Linked DNA regions of Arabidopsis thaliana. The protein of the gene in region 1 purifies or fractionates together with the protein of each later gene. This does not show direct contact. Each region holds a gene or a part of one and is shown on either strand. Other genes may lie near its edges. The genes, in order: AT3G48390, BTF3, IMPA-5 and IMPA-8.

Region 1 (5,232 bases):
AGATGTGCATATTGGAATCCCTAGCAGCGGAGGTTAGTACTATTTGTATGCCTTTGTTTCCGTTGTTCATCCTTCGGTCTCTCGATTCGTTTATTGAATTTGCAATGTTATGCAGTTTCGGAGGGTGTGGCATCTATTATCCAAGGTTCTTATGAGTATTATCATTATCTTCAGGATGGCTTTGATGACTCGGTATATCATTTCTCATTCTTCCATGGTTTTAAAACACTGTAAAAGTAGATTGCTGATGACGTGTGGAGTGAAACAAAACTAAAGCAGAAACTAGGGATTAAAGGCTCTGTGCTAATTTATTAGAATCTTTTACTGCATTCATACCGGAAACTGGAGTTCGTAAATGATTATTGGCATGATAGTTTGTTGCGCTTCAAGTATTTCTATTGTATTTTAGAAAACTAGAAATACCTTCTCAACATCTAACACTAATTTTCACTTGCCGTGCTAGGGATGGGGATGTGCTTACCGATCATTGCAAACTATTATCTCGTGGTTCAGACTTCAACACTACACATCCATATCTGTACCTTCACATAGGTATGAAACTTCTGTTTCTCATGAATATAAATCAGAGCTCCTCTTTCCTCGATTCGCTAAGTATTTTTCTGGATTCTCAGGGAAATACAGCAGACACTCGTGGAAATAGGTGACAAGGATCCTTCGTTTGTAGGATCGCGTGAATGGATTGGTGCCATAGAGTTAAGCTTTGTGTTGGATAAACTTCTTGGTGTAAGTCTTCTGCTCTTAACTTCTTGGTGTAAGTCTCCTGCTCTGAACTTGATGTTGAGAAGCTCGTAATGTCTTTTATTTGCAGGTAAGTTGCAAAATTATGAACTTCAGATCCGGATCAGAGCTCCCAGAGAAATGCCGGGAGTTAGCTATGCACTTTGAGAACCAAGGAACTCCAATAATGATTGGTAAGTCAAGCCAAATCACTCTGATATTATAGCATAAGTGAAAGCGTAGACCCTATATATAAAGGATCAGTGGACCAGTCTTTAATGCGGTTTAAAGAAACCTATAAGAAGGATCCGTTTAATCTTTTAAACTTTGTATTGTGAATTGGTTTTACTTGCAGGAGGTGGGGTTCTTGCATACACGCTATTGGGAGTGGATTACGATGAAGGAAGCGGGGATTGCGCGTTCCTGATCCTGGATCCGCATTATACAGGAAGTGAAGATCACAAGAAGATCGTCAATGGTGGTTGGTGTGGGTGGAAAAAAGCTGTTGATAGCAAAGGAAAAAGCTTTTTCTTGCACAACAAGTTTTACAATCTTCTTCTTCCTCAACGTCCCAACATGGTTTAATTATCATTTTCCTACATGTAACAACAATTACTTTTTTTCTTATCACAGTTTTAGCCTGCTCTGGTCTCCTGATAGTGCAAAAAATGGAGTTTTCAAGAAATTTGAATTTCAGTCGAATAAATAAACCATATTGAAATTAATGTCCGGCTTTTAGATTCGGTGTTACTTCTTGTTAGATGAATCGTTTGGCAAAGTCCAATGGAAACCTTTTTTCTCATTGCATGGCATTGAGGGGTAGTTTTGGTAAATTTGTAAAAACTTTTGGATAAGAATGGAAAAAAGCAGCGATAGGAACGATTACGTGCGGGAGTGTAGAGCACGTGGAATAGAATCAACAGAAATAGATAATTACCAAAACTTACAAAACTACACAAAACCCCCACATTTAGCCTAATATTTGTATAGAATGCCTAAATTCTAATTGGATTCTTTTAAGAGAAATAATGGCTATGGGTATTGAAAAATATATGTATATATATAAAATTCGATTTATTTGGATTGAATGTCTGTAAGAAAACTTCTTTGGAAAAAGAAGATATTTCAAAACACGTCAACCAGTAAAACTAATTAGGACCTATCTGAACTAATAAAAAGTATAGTGTTTGATTTAGAATTAAATTACATTTAATGGCTTCTCCACAATTTAAAAAGCCTTATATGATGACGTGTACCTTCCCTTTACTTTTTATTTGTTTTTCCTTTTTCCAATTTTGTAAATCGCCGATTCTCTCTCATCGACTAGTATTTATAGTCTCGTCGAACTTAGAAATCGGCGACATTTGAATCTTCTAAGACTCTGGTGGAAATTTTTATTACTTACCTGCGGAGTTCTGATAGCTTCTTCTTCTTCTTCCTGTCTTGGCTTGAGATCCGAAGCCAAGTACAGAAGAGTTCGTTCGATTAGTTTGGATTCGTTTCGAATTAATCACTGGTATGTATAATTCTATTACTGGATTTAGGTTTTATATGTTGCTTCTTTGATATTATACAAACCAGTGTGTTTGTAACTTAGAGGTAGTGTTGTTTCGTGTTATTTTTCTGTTTAATTAATGTTATGAAGCCAAGCTATAATGTTATTTGTTCTAGAATGTAGATTGTTGTGTTCTGTTTTGCTCTTAACTTGTTGTTTTCGGATTTGTTTTCTAAATCATTCATAAATCTTGAACGTGTTTAGATGGCAACGAGGGAGTGGTTTGTGATGAATGCACAACAGACGAAACTGGCTCTAGAGTCTCCTCCTCTGTTTGCTGTCAAGAAAGGTTAATACTTTATTCAATTTTCTTAGTAAATTTATACTTCCCTTCTTCTTGTCTTGCTTTTCAAACATGAAGCTTATATTTGTACGTTTCAACAGATGATGATAAAGATCATACTTGTGATACTGGAGAGGAACCTTATGCACTTGTTGGTTCCCCTGTGTTTAACCCTTTGGAAGATTACAAAAGAGAAGTAGTTTCCATCATCGATGAATACTTTAGCTCTGGGGATGTTGAAGTGGCTGCTTCTGACCTTATGGATCTTGGTTTGAGCGAATACCATCCTTATTTTGTCAAGAGGCTTGTTTCCATGGCCATGGACAGGGGCAATAAGGAGAAGGAGAAGGCTTCGGTGTTACTCTCGCGGTTGTACGCTCTTGTTGTTTCACCTGATCAAATCAGGGTTGGGTTTATTAGACTGCTTGAGTCCGTTGGTGATCTTGCTTTGGACATACCTGATGCTGTTAATGTACTTGCTTTGTTTATTGCCCGGGCCATCGTCGATGAAATTCTTCCCCCCGTTTTTCTGGCTAGAGCAAAGAAGACTCTACCGCATTCCTCTCAAGGGTTTCAGGTTATCTTAGTTTCAGAAAATAGCTATCTCTCTGCTCCTCACCACGCAGAGCTAGTGGAGACAAAATGGGGTGGGAGTACTCACATTACGGTAGAAGAAACAAAGAGAAAGATATCTGAATTTTTGAATGAATATGTAGAGAATGGTGACACTCGTGAAGCTTGTAGATGCATCAGGGAGTTAGGTGTCTCGTTTTTCCATCACGAGATCGTGAAGAGTGGTTTGGTTCTAGTGATGGAGTCCCGAACATCCGAGCCGCTGATACTAAAATTGTTGAAAGAAGCTACAGAAGAAGGTCTCATTAGTTCGAGTCAAATGGCGAAAGGGTTCTCCCGAGTAGCAGATAGTCTTGATGATCTTTCTCTTGACATCCCATCTGCTAAAACTCTGTTTGAGTCAATAGTTCCCAAGGCTATAATAGGAGGTTGGCTCGACGAAGATTCGTTTAAAGAACGCTCTGATCAAAATGGGGGCAGCGAAAATCTAAGGCGGTTCAAGAAGGATGCAGAGACCATAATTCAAGAGTATTTCCTTTCTGATGATATCCCCGAGCTAATCCGCAGTCTTGAAGATTTAGGATTACCCGAATATAACCCGGTATTCTTGAAGAAACTCATCACTCTTGCTATGGATAGGAAGAACAAAGAGAAAGAAATGGCTTCTGTTTTTCTCGCTTCTCTTCACATGGAGATGTTCTCAACAGAAGACTTCATAAATGGTTTCATCATGCTCCTCGAATCCGCAGAAGATACAGCATTAGACATCTTAGCAGCATCAGACGAGCTTGCTCTGTTTCTAGCTAGAGCTGTGATCGATGATGTCTTGGCTCCGCTTAATCTCGAAGAGATCTCAAACAGCTTACCGCCAAAATCAACCGGAAGCGAAACCATCCGCTCAGCTCGGTCTCTGATATCCGCTCGACACGCAGGAGAAAGACTCCTGAGAAGCTGGGGTGGGGGAACGGGCTGGGCAGTGGAAGACGCTAAAGACAAGATCTGGAAACTTCTAGAAGAATACGAAGTAGGAGGAGTAATATCAGAGGCTTGTCGATGCATACGCGATCTAGGAATGCCGTTTTTTAACCACGAGGTGGTTAAGAAGGCTTTGGTAATGGCAATGGAGAAGAAGAACGATCGGATGCTTAATCTCTTGCAGGAGTGTTTTGCTGAAGGGATCATTACTACTAACCAAATGACAAAAGGGTTTGGTCGAGTCAAAGATAGTCTTGATGACTTATCTTTGGATATTCCAAATGCAGAAGAGAAATTTAACTCGTATGTTGCGCACGCTGAAGAGAACGGTTGGCTACACCGCGATTTTGGGTGTTCTACAGATTCTTGACTGATTCTGAGTCTCTACATATATAGAAATATGGAGTTGGTTGGTTTTGGGTGTTCTTCAAACTGTTCTTTGTACTTGTTTCCGACGAAAGATCATTCTATGTACTTTTTACATAGGTTTTTATAAACGTCACATGCATATGTTCTCTGAAACTTCCCCACCAATTATTCATACAATTGGTTACTAATAATGTTTGCAAATATTTCAATCAAAAGAAATTTAATCCATATATTATTCAAATAATTGAACATTATAGCCTCATATTCGATGGTGTTGTGATGTAGCTTATCATTTGTTTATTCAACGCGCATATATATTAAACATCTCAAAAACACCACACAAGACATGACAAAAAAAAACAAGGGTTGACTAAAAAGAAAGAAAGAGATCTGAATCACAAAAGCACAATGGAGAGATCAGTAGATTTACCGATTCACAAGCATCCATTATACCATTCATCAAGGTTTATAAATGGTCGTTGCCGCGGTTGCAAGCAAACCTCACCTATCTATAGTGGCTACCGTTGCAATGACTCTGATTGTAACCATGTTTGGTATCACAAAGAATGTGGCGAATCATTACCGGAGATCAATCATCCTTCCCATCTCGAGCATCCGCTCTGCTTAATCGACTACAGGGGAAGTGGTACGTGTGCTTTTTGTGGAGCTTTCTTGTTTGGTCCTACGTATCATTGTTGGATATGCGCCTTTAATATCGATATAGCTTGTGCGAGAAAAC
Region 2 (4,145 bases), on another chromosome or scaffold:
GGATTCCCCATAAACTTCTTGAACTCCTCGTCTGTTTTCCAATCCATCTCTTGCTGCTTCGACTTCTTTTCCTCCTCTTCTTCACTGCTCTCTGGAGAAGGCGGCGCATTATTGTTATCGTGGTCTTCTTTTTGCTCCTCCGCTAACGCCACCGGAGAAGGAGCTTCGTTCACAGGTTCACGAACGCGATCATCTTCCGCTGAACATCTCAAAGAATGTCTGCTTCTCGTTGTCTGATTCACAGAAGCTTTCCCAAAGTTCGAAAATTCTGCTCTGTCAAAGCGACGAAGATGCAAACTGTGACAGGATTTAAGAGTTAAGGAAGATGATGGAGTAGAAACAAAGAGAGAAGCCATGGTTTACGAAAACTCAGAAAGATTGAGATTTGACGACGAATAGACATGTCTCTGAGAGAGAATTTGTAGAGAAAGTGATGAAATGTCTGGAAAGTTTGAGAAGAAACTCATACAGTACAGGTGGAATGGTTTTTATGCAACAAGACAATGTGTCACATCAAAATCTTCTAATCCACATAGTGAAGAGGAAGAAGAAGACGAGGACCTGATTTGCTGTCAAAGAATCAATAAGACATCAAATAATTGGATAAAAACCTTAAGTCATTAGATGGAAAACAAGATTCTGGTCGGAAACTACAAAAAGGATCGAGCGAACAAACATATTATAAAGATATGTAAAAATCAAAGTGCGGTTTTTTTTTGGATGTGGTCTCGCTCTTTTCTCTCTAAGAAGAAGCAGCAGCAGCTGGTGCTTTCTCTTCAGCAGCAGTTTCGAATGTCTCTCCAACAAGCTCTGGGACATCGTCATCATCCTCTTCTTGTATGGTTGCTGAGGCGGCATTACCTTCACCAGAAGCCTGTTTCTGGAACTGTTCTGCTAGCTTCTTCAGGTTGTCCATGTTGTCTGGTCCTGAAAGAGATCAAAGTAACATAAAGTTAGAGACCTTAGGATCGATGAAGAACATTTAAGAGCTGTACAGTTACATGGTACACACCAAGTTGGCTGATGATCTGAGGAAGGATATCTTGCAATTCTGCAGGAAGCAACACGTTTACATTAATCAGAGAAGATGAAATGAAGAAGAAACAAGAAAGTAGAGATTAAGAGATATTATGAGATGCAATACTTTTGGTCTGAGGAGAACCGCTAACAACCCATGTGTTTGCAGCAATTGAAGCTTGAACTGTAGTAACATTCAAAGGAGGAACAATGATCAGTAACATGAAAAAAAGGTTCTGATGTATAGATAAAAAATGGTTAAAAATGACTTACCCTTAGGGTTGATGAACTGAATAACAACATCATCCTTAAAGATGTTAACTTCTTCAATAGCGGGAATGGAGTTAACTCCAATTCTCTTAAGAGTGCTTTGAAGCCTCTTGTCATCAGTTGTATTGGTCTTGTGCACAGCCTTCTTCTTTCTGCAAGTAAAAATCGAATGGTTTCATAACACAAATCATAGTAAATGCTAAGTATTGAACAATGAAATTGGTTGAATAAAACTCTATACCTTCTGACAGTACCCTTTCCGCCAGTGCGGACGGTATTAGCCATCTTCATCAACTTCTCCCTATTCATCTGTGTATAAACCATAATAAGAAGCAAAATCCATCAATCCCCAAATCACTTCCAAAAGAATCAATGAACACATTAACTGCTAATAATACATTCACAAAAACTTCTTATTATACAAGAAACTAGTGAGAAGAAAGTAAGCGCGAACAGATTTAAACTCAGATGCGTATGAAGACACGGTGATGTGACTAGTAGTTTTAACCTAAATTTAATCATTTTCAATCGATTAGGTATACCAAATCCCCCAATCAAACACACAGAGAAGTTGAAAACCCAGTAAATTCCCAAACACCGACAAAAACTAATCCTATCTACAGAAAGAAGCGAAATGAATCAAGAAAGAAAGATATCTGACATTTTGCAAAATCGGGGATTAGAGAAACCCTAGAACCGGAGAGATAAAACACTAATAGAAAGGAAAATTACAGTGATAATGAATTTACCTTGAGATTAGGGTTCTTCCTTGTTCGAAGAGTGTGAGGAGATAAGAAAATGAAACAAAAAGAAAAGAAACAGAGAGAGGAGAGACGCGGGCGGCGCAGGGTTTTGCCCTTTAACTATATGCTATTCGGAGCCAACCTCGTCTCTTAATCTAACGGTGGATATCAGATATTCCATAAAGAAATCTCCATCACTACCGTTGGATGCTCGATGATAATATTGGCCCATAAGGCCCAAAACTAAACTGGGCCAATAATTATTTACTGGGCTCTTTTGTGCCGTAATCAATCACCAGTATTAGCGCGTAGCAAACCATAATCTTTTGGTTACCAGAATTTCAAAATCCACAAATTTATCTAAATGAGTTTATCAATGAACAGACTTGTTTAGTTGACTAAAATTTAGAGAAGAAAGCTATTCGATTATTGATAATCTCAACAACAATGGTACATTTATTACAAAGTAAGTTTGCTTAACTTGAACTGTATGAAATCCATGAATACAAAAATTACATAAAAGAGATAGAGAGATCTGTATAGAACCAAAAATCAAACGCATAAACATTCACGTGTAAAGAGAATGAATATTGCTTTGTGTTTTGGACCTTGTTTTTTTTACTGCTTCTTCTGCACAACATTTTCCAAATACCATTCATAAGTTTGGGAGAGGCCATCTTTAAGCGAAATCTTCGGTGTCCATCCCAAAGACGCAAGCTTCGAGCTATCCATCAGTTTCCTTGGTGTCCCGTCTGGTTTTGTGGTATCCCAAACAAGCTTTCCTTTAAACCCAACAACTTCTTTCACCAACTCAGCCAATTCTTTGATCGTCACTTCAACACCACTTCCTACATTCACATGCTCAAATCCGCTGTACTGATCCATCAAGAAAACACAAGCATCAGCCAAATCATCGACATGTAAAAACTCCCTCAACGGGCTTCCACTTCCCCAAACCACAACTTCGTCAGCATTATTGGCTTTGGCTTCATGAAACCTCCTCATGAGAGCAGGCAGCACATGGGAATTCTCCGGGTGGAAATTATCATTCTGACCATACAGATTCGTGGGCATACCGGAGATAGCATCCCACTGATGCTGAAGCCGGTAAGCTTGACACATCTTAATACCCGCGATCTTGGCGATCGCATACCATTCGTTTGTCGGTTCGAGCGGACCGGTAAGAAGCGCAGATTCGGGAATCGGCTGAGGAGCAAATTTGGGGTAAATGCAAGATGAACCAAGGAAGAGGAGTTTCTTCACACCGTGTGTATAAGCAGAGTGGATCACATTGGTCTGGATTTGGAGATTGACCCCAATGAAATCAGCTGGGTATGTGTTGTTAGCATGAATCCCACCGACTTTAGCAGCAGCTAGGATGACATAAACTGGTTTCTCTGTAGCAAAGAAAGATTCAACATCTGATTGGCTAGTGAGATCAAGCTCTGAATGGGTTCGAAGGACCAAATTGGTGAAACCCTGATCCTGGAGCTTGCGGACAATGGCAGATCCAACCAATCCCCTATGTCCAGCGACAAAGATCTTGGCGGATTTCTCTAACATAAACGAACCTGATTTCATCTCTGCACAGAATTACGAGGGATCAAAGACCTAGGGTTCCAAAATTTCCACGAAAATCTAAATTCAATTCCACAAAACTCCGTATATAGACATGAAACATTATATTCAGACATAAAATAGAGAGATGGACGTACCGGATCCTGTGTTGTCCGCCATTGTTTAGTCAATTAGTTCTACAAGACGATGAGCGATTGAGAATGGGGATTTTGACTTATAGATATCAGTTTTCGAAGTCAACGACAGAAGCTTAGATTTGTAGGTAAAGGTTAAATTCCTTGGAGAATGTAATGTGGAGGAGATCTGAATATCCGCCGGCGATCTGAATCGGTGTCGGATATTTTGTTATTCAGTTTATGGATCCTGGCCCATGGGCCTAAATAAAATAGTCACCTCACTCTCCGCCCATTTCGCTTACTTTTCCATCGTTACGTTATTGGCCTATTGCAATTAAACCGGACCAAATTCCGGTTCGCAGCTGTGAGTTACCAAATTAGCTCCATCAGCCAGGTGTCCGTACTCCGTACCATCCATAAG
Region 3 (4,994 bases), on another chromosome or scaffold:
GACGAGAATGAAGAAGAGTTAACAACGAGCGAAGAAATAATAAAGCATCTCTGCACCTTCTTACTTGAGCTTGTTATCGAATTCATCTAAATTCTCAAAGTGGCGACCAAATTCGATGATTCAATTTCTCCATGGAAACGAAACACAAAGTGGTTTCGGAATATATGGGCCTTTTACGTTATACCAAAGCCCATAGCATAAGAGCCCATCCATTTCGAAAGAAAAAAAAAAAAACAAATCCGTCCCGCGTCAAAAAAACTGAATCCATCTTTAAAGTTTGACCGTTAGTTCGGTAAACAAATAATTTAACCCTTTCTTAATTTTGACCGTTAGTTCGGTAAATTTGAGTAAAATTTTTTCCTAAAAGACAAAACAATGTGGATTCCAACAGGAAGTGGAACTTGGTTCTCTAACAGGAAGTGGAACTTGATTCCAATATGATGAGTAGCTGTTAGAGAACCAAGTTCCACTTCCTGTTGGAATCCACATTGTTTTGTCTTTTAGGACCATCATATTATGTGCATGCTTTTGGTTCAATATGACAGCTATTTCTTTACATCAAAATCTAATATCAGATTATGTGGGATCTTAACGAGAAAAATCAAACTGGAATTCCGGATGAGAACAACCATCACCACCTTCATCTTCCTCTTCAACTAACCTTCCATCTTCCTCTACAAGCCCGTATGTTTGCAGAATCTTCACAGCCTTCTCGTAGATCTCATTGTTGCCATGGTGCTGCAAGTTCTCAATCTTTTCTAGCCCTTCTGCATCTTCAATCATTTGAGAGTAACAGTTCACGTCTCTTAGGTTCTTGTCCACCTCTCCAGCAATCAAAATCATTTCCAGTCCACCTAGAGACACTAAGATGATTCTTAGATCTGGACAAACCAGGATGTCACATAAAGCTTTTATGCAATTCTGCTCCACCAAGTATCTGATACACACCAATGGATATTGTGAATATAGATGATCAATAAGCATGAAAAAAGTGATAAAGAAAGAAGACAGGGATGTACTTGATTTGATTAGGAGAACCACCCACGGAAGCATTTGAAATTGCCCATATAGCTTCTTTCTTTATGTCAAATTCAGCATGTTGTGCCAGATTGACCAACGATGGAATCAAATTTGCATCAATAACCGACTGTTATCATCATCAATGCAAGAAAGACAAATAGAAAATATTTAGTGATAGCAACGTAAATTGTTCAAGTTCTGCAACAGTAACAATCACAAACTCATGCTCACCTGAATTTGTTCTTCTAAACCGGCAGTGATGTTTGAAATCGTCCAGCAAGCTTCCCTCCTTATGCCTCTCATATGGTTTTGAGTAAGCAGGTCAGCAAGAACGGGTAAAACACCACAATTGATCACACACTGAAAAATAAGTTCAAAGAGTTATTTGGTTACAAAATCTAATCTCAACACAGTACTCAAGCAACATATAAATGAAGTGTTCTCCAGGATATAATCATCCAAGATACAGGATTACAAATTAAGCTTTTGATAGTGCTATTGCTTTGAAAAACAATAAATTCACACGGTGTACAAGAGACGTGTTCTTGAAGGCTCCATCAAAGGAATATGAATTACATACGTGAGTCTGCTGACTATTTCCAGAAACTATATTCCCAATGCAACGAAGTGCAGGAACAAGTACAACTGGAGAAGCGTGTCTGCAAAAGAAAAAAATGGCGAGCCTTCATTATCCAAACATGTATCAAACGGTTAAATTTTTTAATATTTGGAGAGAAGTACTAACTGGAGAAGTTCAACTAGTCTTGGGACAACACCCGCCTCGATCACACTTTGGATATTTTCATTTGAAGCATCAGACAGATTCGAAAGCGCCCAGCAAGCATCTATCAAGACTTGTTCATCATCCGAATAAACAAGTCTTTTAAGTACAGGGAGAACATGTTTCACCTATAAATCATGTTTCATAAGTTTAAGTATTGCACCTATAAAACTGAGGAAATAGAGAAGTAAGAATACCAGGTCAAAGGGTGGTGAAGGCTTGCCACGGAAGAAGTTTGATAAAGTCCAAGTCGCATTTCTAAGTATCGACAATGTAGCATGGTTATTCAGCTGATGCAACAGTGGAATAAATGCCCCAGAGTTAAGAACAAAGTCACGGCACTGTATTGAATCACCAGCAACATTACCCAGTCCCCATATAGCCTGCAAATTAAGTGTAACATCAAACTCTTCAAAATTTGAACTCACATATTTAACCATTCATACTCAGAAGAAGCACTATACCTGCTCACGGACATCATCATCAGGGGAAGCAAGAAGCTGAACAAAGAGTGGCACAACACCGTGATCAATCACTACCTTGGTATGCTCAGATGCGCCAGAAGCAATGTTTGTTAAAGCCCAAGCAGCCTCAAACTATAAAAAAGATCAAAGAATTCAGAACCAAAGATTACACTAATCATCAAAGATGGGAACTTTAAGTCTAACCTGAAGCTTAGGGTTATCATCCTTCTTAAGAAACTCTACAAAACGTGGCACAACTCCAGATTTTATCACATTATCAGTAGGTGGACTTCTATCTGAACAATATATAAAACCACAAGACTTTAAGAAACCATTCAAGTAAATATAAGTTCGTATCTTTTTCAACTCAAGATCAAAGAAAAGTAAAGAGTTTTACCGAATGATAGAACCACCCTGAACCGAGTTGTGTACTCAAGCTGCAATGAAGGATCATCCGAGAAAACCCCAGTGATCATATTCGCTATCTCCAACTACAACCATCACCAGAGAGGATCTAATTTAATTACCCAATTCGAAAGCATTCGAGTATAATGATAAAGGTCGTATCTTTCAAAACCTAGGTTTCACTAATCCAAAACCAAAGATCAAACTTTTACCAAACTCTCAAAGGGGTCGTTGGAAATCAACTTGTAATCAGGAGGCAAAACTTTTACACGACGTTTCTTCATCAAATTTTCGTTGCGTTTACTCTTGCGAATCTCGACTAAAAAGTCTTCTCTTCTTCTGCGTCCTTCTTCCGCATCTACAGAGACTTTGTAACGGATTCGACGGATCTCTGTCTTCGTGCTCGGTCGCAAGGACATAGCTTTCTCGATTCTTCGACCTCTCTAAATCAATTCACAAAATCGAAGCGAAACCCTAGAAATTTGAACTGAATGGGATTTGCAAAGTGAAGAAGAGAATGCAAGAGTGGTGAAGATGAAGAAGAAGCGACAACAGTTTCAATTTGAAGAAGCGGGAGGGTTTTCTAATTATCGTTTTTAATTGTTAACCGTATTTATACAGTAGATTGAATCATAAATCATTGATAATCTAAATTTAAGATAAAGTTTACAATCATATTATTAAGAGCTCCAAATTGAAATAATTAGTCAATAATTATTATAAGCTAAAATACTTGAATCTAAACCGAACTAAACCGTGAAGTTGGTTTAGTTACTCGTTACCGACGATAAAAAGAACCATATTTGCAGAGTTTACTCGTTAGATGTGTAGTGTTTTCTCCGGCGAAGGAAAACCTACTTTTCCGGTAAAGTTCATGTATTGATTGGAAAAAGTAGGTTTTGGTTTGTGATTTTGAATTGCTTATGTAAGAAGTAAAAACATTGTTTTTTCTCATATGATTATGTTAACTACTATACATTGTACACTATACTATATGTGCAAGTTGCTTTAAAGAAACAAGATATTCCAAAGACGTCGATTCATCTCTAACAGTAGCAAGACCTTCTCGAGCAACCGTAGCCATCCGATTTGTAGGCGATCTTGGAGGAGATGCATAAAGAACTGATGCCTCGATGATCTCTCTATGTGTGTTTTCAAGATCCTTAGAGATTCGATGTGCTTGAAGAGCGGTTAGGTAAAGTCCCGTGGCTAGAAAGACGGTTATAAGTGAGAACACTCCGGCCGCTGAAAACAAGCCTTGCCGGATTACTAGACAACTAGGTTTTGGTTTAGACCAGTTCTTTAGATGTCCTGATTCCACACTAAGTGCAACCAACAGTAGAACCTCTCCAACACCAAAGCAAACCCTTATAGGAACAAAAAAGAATAATATAATCACAAAATTATCATTAACTTAAGCTATGGTCAGTAACATAAATATGTCATTTCACGATTGCTTATAGTTAGGATTTTTTTATTTTTATTTTATTTTTTATAACTACATGACATTAATTCGTTGCGTTAGAATAAGTCTACGTACCATGTTGAGACGAAGAAGAAGGCAGCTTGAAAAGTGAGCCTCTTCGCAGGAACAGAGTCAGGATCCCACTCAACCAGAACCAGAGACGGCGATGTGGTGACTGCGATAAGTAAGTACATGTGGAAGCCCACCATCGCCACCGCTAGTCCCACAAACGCAATCGCACCACACAACAACGGCGTTTTCCCGCTACCATTATACACGCATGTTTTGCTTCCCCATGTCGCCTATTGCAAATGATTGACAACATATTAATGGCAATGATATAACTTATACTAAATACTATTATAATCGAACGATATGGTAATTAATATAAAACATGAATCAATATAGATTTCTGATTTATTTTGAAAATATAAATGATGAAAACATATGAGAGAAAGTTTATATACATCCCTGTATAGTAATGTACCTGAGATCTTGTGGCTTCGGCATAGAGGCAGAGAACAAAGCAGGAGAGGCCAAAGATTATTGTCAAAACAGCGATGAAAATACCGGTTTTGCTGCTGAGATCTGTGGTTTTAGGGTTTGGAACAAGATCTTGATGGGTCACAGCTCGCACTCTTGTTCTCGACATGTCTCTCGTCAATTTCTAATAGATAGGAATCGAAGTTACATGTTTTGAGAGTTATTATACTTTGATTTGTTTTACATATATGAGAGGCATTGAAAGTGGGAAGAAAAGAATAAACTGGAGTATATTTGATAAATAAATGAAAAAGGAGAGGAGGATAGAAGAATTGCTTCAGCCAAAGGTTGCTTAAAGGCCAAGATTCGCAGGTTC
Region 4 (4,353 bases), on another chromosome or scaffold:
TCTAACTATTATCATCATCAGCCTTACCAAAAAACAAAAGTATTATCATCATCAACTAAGCCAAAGATGGATACGTGGCCAAGGCGGATTGTGTATTTTTTTCATTATGTACCCAAAATACATTGAACCAGTAGTTTAAAGACAATCCAGTCTTGTTGAACCAGTCGAGTTTTTTATTCTTTAATACAACAAAAAAAAAATCAATCAAAATGGAGTTGTCTTCATTCGATTCGGTTTCAAAAATAATTAGACCCTTTCGCATAATTTTATAAATGAATATTTGATTTTATAATCAGCAAGGCCAAGGAGATTTCAAGAATTTGAGTAACTTTTTTACTAAACGTCTAAACCTTTCAACTAAAACCAAACACAACATCAATTAGACGACGAGCTTTAACACAGAAAACTTTTAAAACCCAAAACAATGTACTAGACTCCATGAACGATGGAGCCAAAGCTTTTACATCAACTTTGTACATTCAATTAAAGACCAAGTAAAGCCCTGAGACAACAAAGGTGCAAAGCCTTTGGTCCCATGTAAGATGTTTTTTTTTCACTATAACAAATAATTGTGTTGGGATCTTCCATATAAGGAACTGGAACTTTGGTTCTCTCACACCTGAAAGTCCACATCATCACATCGGACGTTGTTGTTGTTGTTCTCATCATCCTCTTCAAACCAATTCGTCACCAGAATCTTATAAGCCTTCTCGTAGATATCATCGTTTTTGTTCATTTGCAGCTTCGAAATCTTTTCTAGCCCTTCCGCATCTTCAATCAGTAGACAATAAGGGTTCACGTCTTCACTGTTCTTTTCAGCCTCTCCGGCCTTCAACATGTTTTCCAATCCATCCAGACACTTTAAGATGGTGGTTCTTTCATCTGAATATACTAGGATATCACATAATTGTTTTATGCAACTCTGCTCCGCCATGTATCTGAATCACACCAATGGAGAATTGTGAGACTTGATGATCTATAATAAGTACATTAAAGTTGAAAAAAGAAACAAGACAGGGACGTTACTTGATTTGATCATGAGAACCATTTAAGGCCATATTTGAAATTGCCCATACAGCTTCTTTCTTCATGTAGAAGTCAGTATCTTGAGCAAGATTGACCAAGATTGGAATCAAATTTGCATCAATAACTGACTGTAATCACCAGGGGAAAAAGAAAAACAAATTAGTGATAGCAAAAGACAAAAATGGTAAATTTTCATTGGGGATAATAGCAACAAAAGTTTCTCACCTGAATTTGTTCTTTAGTCCCTGCAGTGATGTTTGAAATCACCCAGCAAGCACACTTCTTTATTTTGTTCTCGTGGTTTCGAGTAAGCATGTTGGAAATAATGGGTAAAGCACCACTATTGATCACACACTGAAGAATAAGTTCAAAGAGGTGTATAACAAAGCATTTTGTTGTTTGGTTACAAAATCCAAAAGGTGGACAACGTAAGTTGAATATGAAATACATACCTGTGTCTGCTGATGATTTCCAGCAGTCATAGCCCCAATGGTAAGAAGTGCAGGAACAAGCACCACTGGAGAAGGGAGTCTGCAAAAGAAAAAAAACTGTCAGCCTTTCCTTATCCAAACATGTCACAAAAGGGTTAAATACATATTCTGAGAAGTACTAACTGGAGAATTTGAACTAGTTTTGGGACAAAACCAGCCTCAATCACACTTTGGATTCCATCTTCTGAACCCTCAGACAGATGACATAGTGCCATGCAAGCATTTTTCAAGACATCTTCATCATGTGAATGAAGAAGTATTTCAAGCGCAGGAAGAGCAGGTTTCACCTGTTGAATCATGCTTCATATGTTAAAAAGTATACAAAACAGAGGAAACAGAGACAGAGAGAGAAGTAAGAAGACCTGATCGAAAGCCGGGTGAGGCTTGCCACGACACAAGTTACGCAAAGCCCAAGTAGCAATTCTGAGTGTAGTATCCTTATACAGAAGACGCAACAGTGGCATCAATACCCCAGAGTTAAGAACAAAGTCACGGTAATGTATCGAATGACCAGCAACATTACTCAGTGTCCATATAGCCTGCAAGAATAATGTCAAAACTCATATCTGTGAGTCTGTGACAAGTATTCTCATATCTACACGTAGTAAAATACTTACCTGCTCACGAACATAATCTTTAGGAGAAGCAATAAGCTGAATTAATACTGGAACAGCGTTGTTATTAACTACCACGCCCGGATTGTCAACAGCAATGTTTGTTAGAGCCCAAGCTACCTCATACTATAAAAACAAAGATCACTGAATATATCGTAATCAAAGGTTACACTGATCATCATCATAAAATATCAACTAACTTGAAGCTTGGGGAAAACTTGATTTTTAAGCAACTGAACGAGACGCGGTACAACTCCAGATCGTATCACACAAGATATATCTCCTGGAAAGATATTAGAGTAAATGATAAAAGACGAATCTTTCAAACCGAGATCAAGAAAAAGTAAAGAAAGTAAAAAACAGAGGAAGTTTTTACTCTGTGATGTAATACGTCTGATCTTGGTAACGGATTCAAGTTGTAATGGAGGATCATCTGACCAAAGACCATCGATTATATCATCTGAAACTTCGTTCACCTACAATCCAAACCCTAAAAACCTCACTAGTCCAACACAAAATCAACCAGAGAGTGATTACTTGTGAGATAGTTTTAAACGGACCTCTGTTTTCCAAGCCATGGCTTTTCTCTCTTCTTTTCGACCTCTCCAAAGCAATTTAGAAAACTTAAAGACTAAACCCTAGAAATCTCAACTTGAAATGTGAGAGAGGCAAAGATTTTGCAATCAAGCAAGAATGCAAACAAAAATGGTGAAGCAGAATTTTAACGAAGCGTAAAAAAACGGGTTTTTCAGTTATCGTTTCTTTCTTGATTTTATTTTAACCGTCTGATCAAAAAATCCAGTCGCTACTTAACCGTCTACTCTAAACCGATCAAAATAAAAATTTGATTTGAATCCGGTTTACTCCAACCCAAAATTTCAATTCGACAAACCACAATACCACAAAATCTTGGTTTATGTAAGAACTTGAATTCTCAAAGCCTTTGACCACATGAATGCACAAAATCTTGGCTTATGTAAGAATGGTTTTACATTTGATTTCAATTACATCGACCAAAGCTCCTATGAACTCTATTCGTAAACCAATTAACAACACTTAGAAATGCAACTCAATTCACCATGAATCAGAAAAGCTCATCATCACTATCATCATCACTACTATCACTCAACACAAAGTCTCCTTCATCCTCCACCCATTCATCTTCCGAAAACGCCGATACATTAAACCTCCCAAACCCATCACTCTCCACCGTCATCTCCGCCTTCTCATCCTCATCATACGACAACGAAAACAACTCATCATTACCACCAAATCCCACCTCATCCTCCTCAAACCTTGGTCTCTTCCCCGGAATCAAATCCTTCTCACCAATCTCTCCCTTCTCAACACCACTCCAAGGCACCCACAAATCAGCATGCCTTCCCAATGCTCTATCCATATCACTAACAACCAAAGTCCCAAGATCAGCCTCTCTAGCTTTCCTCAACATATCAGAAAAATCCTTATCATCCGACACCAAAACCAACCAATCAATCCCTCTAGTCATTGAATGTTGTATCTGTCTCTTAACCGCCCAATCCGCAGCCTGAGGCTTATCCTCAACCGTCTTAACATAAACCCCTGCTCGACGTAGCTCAGCCTCTAAACCATATCCAACTTTAGGAGTCAACAAACTCCTCGCAGCCTCATTATACTTCTCATTCCCTGAAACATAACGCTCCTTAAACTTCTGACGTTTCTTACCTTTCAAAGATCTCATCCTATTAACTTTCTTCTGTCTCTCCCTCTCATGAAGCTGCTTGAAATGTTTCTTCAAATCAAGATTGGTTTTACACTTGCGACCACAAACACCACAAATGTACGGATCAATTGGAGTCACTTCTCCTTTCCTCTCCATGAAATCAAGGTTCCTCCTTTCTCGTCTCTCTTCGACGACCCAATGAGGTAAATGGATAAAAGCATGACGATTTGCGTAAGCGGAGATTTCGACGACTCGGCCGAGTTTCTCAGCGACTTTACGGAGAGCTGTTGCGGCTTCGTATGGTGGACCTCGTGGTGGTTTGTTGTCTAAGTCCCATAAGACTACAACTTTCTTCTCCTTTGGTGCAAAGATACCTTCTTTGTTTCTTACCATATCGATTTCTGATGAAGATGCTGATTTCAGACATGATTCGATCCGCCATTGGTGACGAAGTGGGAAGCTTGTGAATTTAGGGTTTTGGAATTTGGAATTGGAGAAGGTAAAGAAGTGAGATTTGTGT

The links.
Region 2: the proteins of AT3G48390 (region 1) and BTF3 fractionate together in Arabidopsis thaliana (co-fractionation; one large-scale study listed by BioGRID). This does not show direct contact.
Region 3: the proteins of AT3G48390 (region 1) and IMPA-5 fractionate together in Arabidopsis thaliana (co-fractionation; one large-scale study listed by BioGRID). This does not show direct contact.
Region 4: the proteins of AT3G48390 (region 1) and IMPA-8 fractionate together in Arabidopsis thaliana (co-fractionation; one large-scale study listed by BioGRID). This does not show direct contact.

The regions. Positions count from the first base shown.
Region 1 is NC_003074.8:17,918,777-17,924,008, forward strand, and holds AT3G48390 (MA3 domain-containing protein), read left to right. Parts: upstream 1-2,018; 5' UTR 2,019-2,254; intron 2,255-2,497; coding exon 2,498-2,582; intron 2,583-2,677; coding exon 2,678-4,494; 3' UTR 4,495-4,720; downstream 4,721-5,232. Other genes in the region: AT3G48380 (Peptidase C78, ubiquitin fold modifier-specific peptidase 1/ 2), read left to right, coding at 1-32, 116-192, 464-552, 633-744, 830-932, 997-1,072, 1,146-1,323; AT3G48400 (Cysteine/Histidine-rich C1 domain family protein), read left to right, coding at 4,902-5,232. UniProt on the Arabidopsis thaliana protein: Involved in target of rapamycin (TOR)-regulated translation control, especially under energy-deficient conditions.
Region 2 is NC_003070.9:6,151,830-6,155,974, forward strand, and holds BTF3 (basic transcription factor 3), read right to left. Parts: upstream 2,154-4,145; 5' UTR 2,037-2,153; intron 1,597-2,036; coding exon 1,529-1,596; intron 1,440-1,528; coding exon 1,291-1,439; intron 1,202-1,290; coding exon 1,145-1,201; intron 1,052-1,144; coding exon 1,013-1,051; intron 928-1,012; coding exon 743-927; 3' UTR 555-742; downstream 1-554. Other genes in the region: EGY3 (ethylene-dependent gravitropism-deficient and yellow-green-like 3), read right to left, coding at 1-356; GER2 (NAD(P)-binding Rossmann-fold superfamily protein), read right to left, coding at 2,649-3,613, 3,746-3,767.
Region 3 is NC_003076.8:19,991,428-19,996,421, forward strand, and holds IMPA-5 (importin alpha), read right to left. Parts: upstream 3,246-4,994; 5' UTR 3,090-3,245; coding exon 2,883-3,089; intron 2,757-2,882; coding exon 2,663-2,756; intron 2,562-2,662; coding exon 2,470-2,561; intron 2,398-2,469; coding exon 2,266-2,397; intron 2,185-2,265; coding exon 1,999-2,184; intron 1,930-1,998; coding exon 1,766-1,929; intron 1,680-1,765; coding exon 1,601-1,679; intron 1,381-1,600; coding exon 1,252-1,380; intron 1,148-1,251; coding exon 1,020-1,147; intron 938-1,019; coding exon 589-937; 3' UTR 519-588; downstream 1-518. Other genes in the region: AT5G49320 (transmembrane protein, putative (DUF1218)), read right to left, coding at 3,656-4,037, 4,211-4,437, 4,623-4,787. UniProt on the Arabidopsis thaliana protein: Binds to conventional NLS motifs and mediates nuclear protein import across the nuclear envelope.
Region 4 is NC_003076.8:21,118,411-21,122,763, forward strand, and holds IMPA-8 (importin alpha), read right to left. Parts: upstream 2,710-4,353; coding exon 2,692-2,709; intron 2,608-2,691; coding exon 2,508-2,607; intron 2,415-2,507; coding exon 2,332-2,414; intron 2,258-2,331; coding exon 2,135-2,257; intron 2,057-2,134; coding exon 1,880-2,056; intron 1,805-1,879; coding exon 1,641-1,804; intron 1,558-1,640; coding exon 1,479-1,557; intron 1,381-1,478; coding exon 1,252-1,380; intron 1,155-1,251; coding exon 1,027-1,154; intron 939-1,026; coding exon 614-938; 3' UTR 536-613; downstream 1-535. Other genes in the region: AT5G52010 (C2H2-like zinc finger protein), read right to left, coding at 3,216-4,353.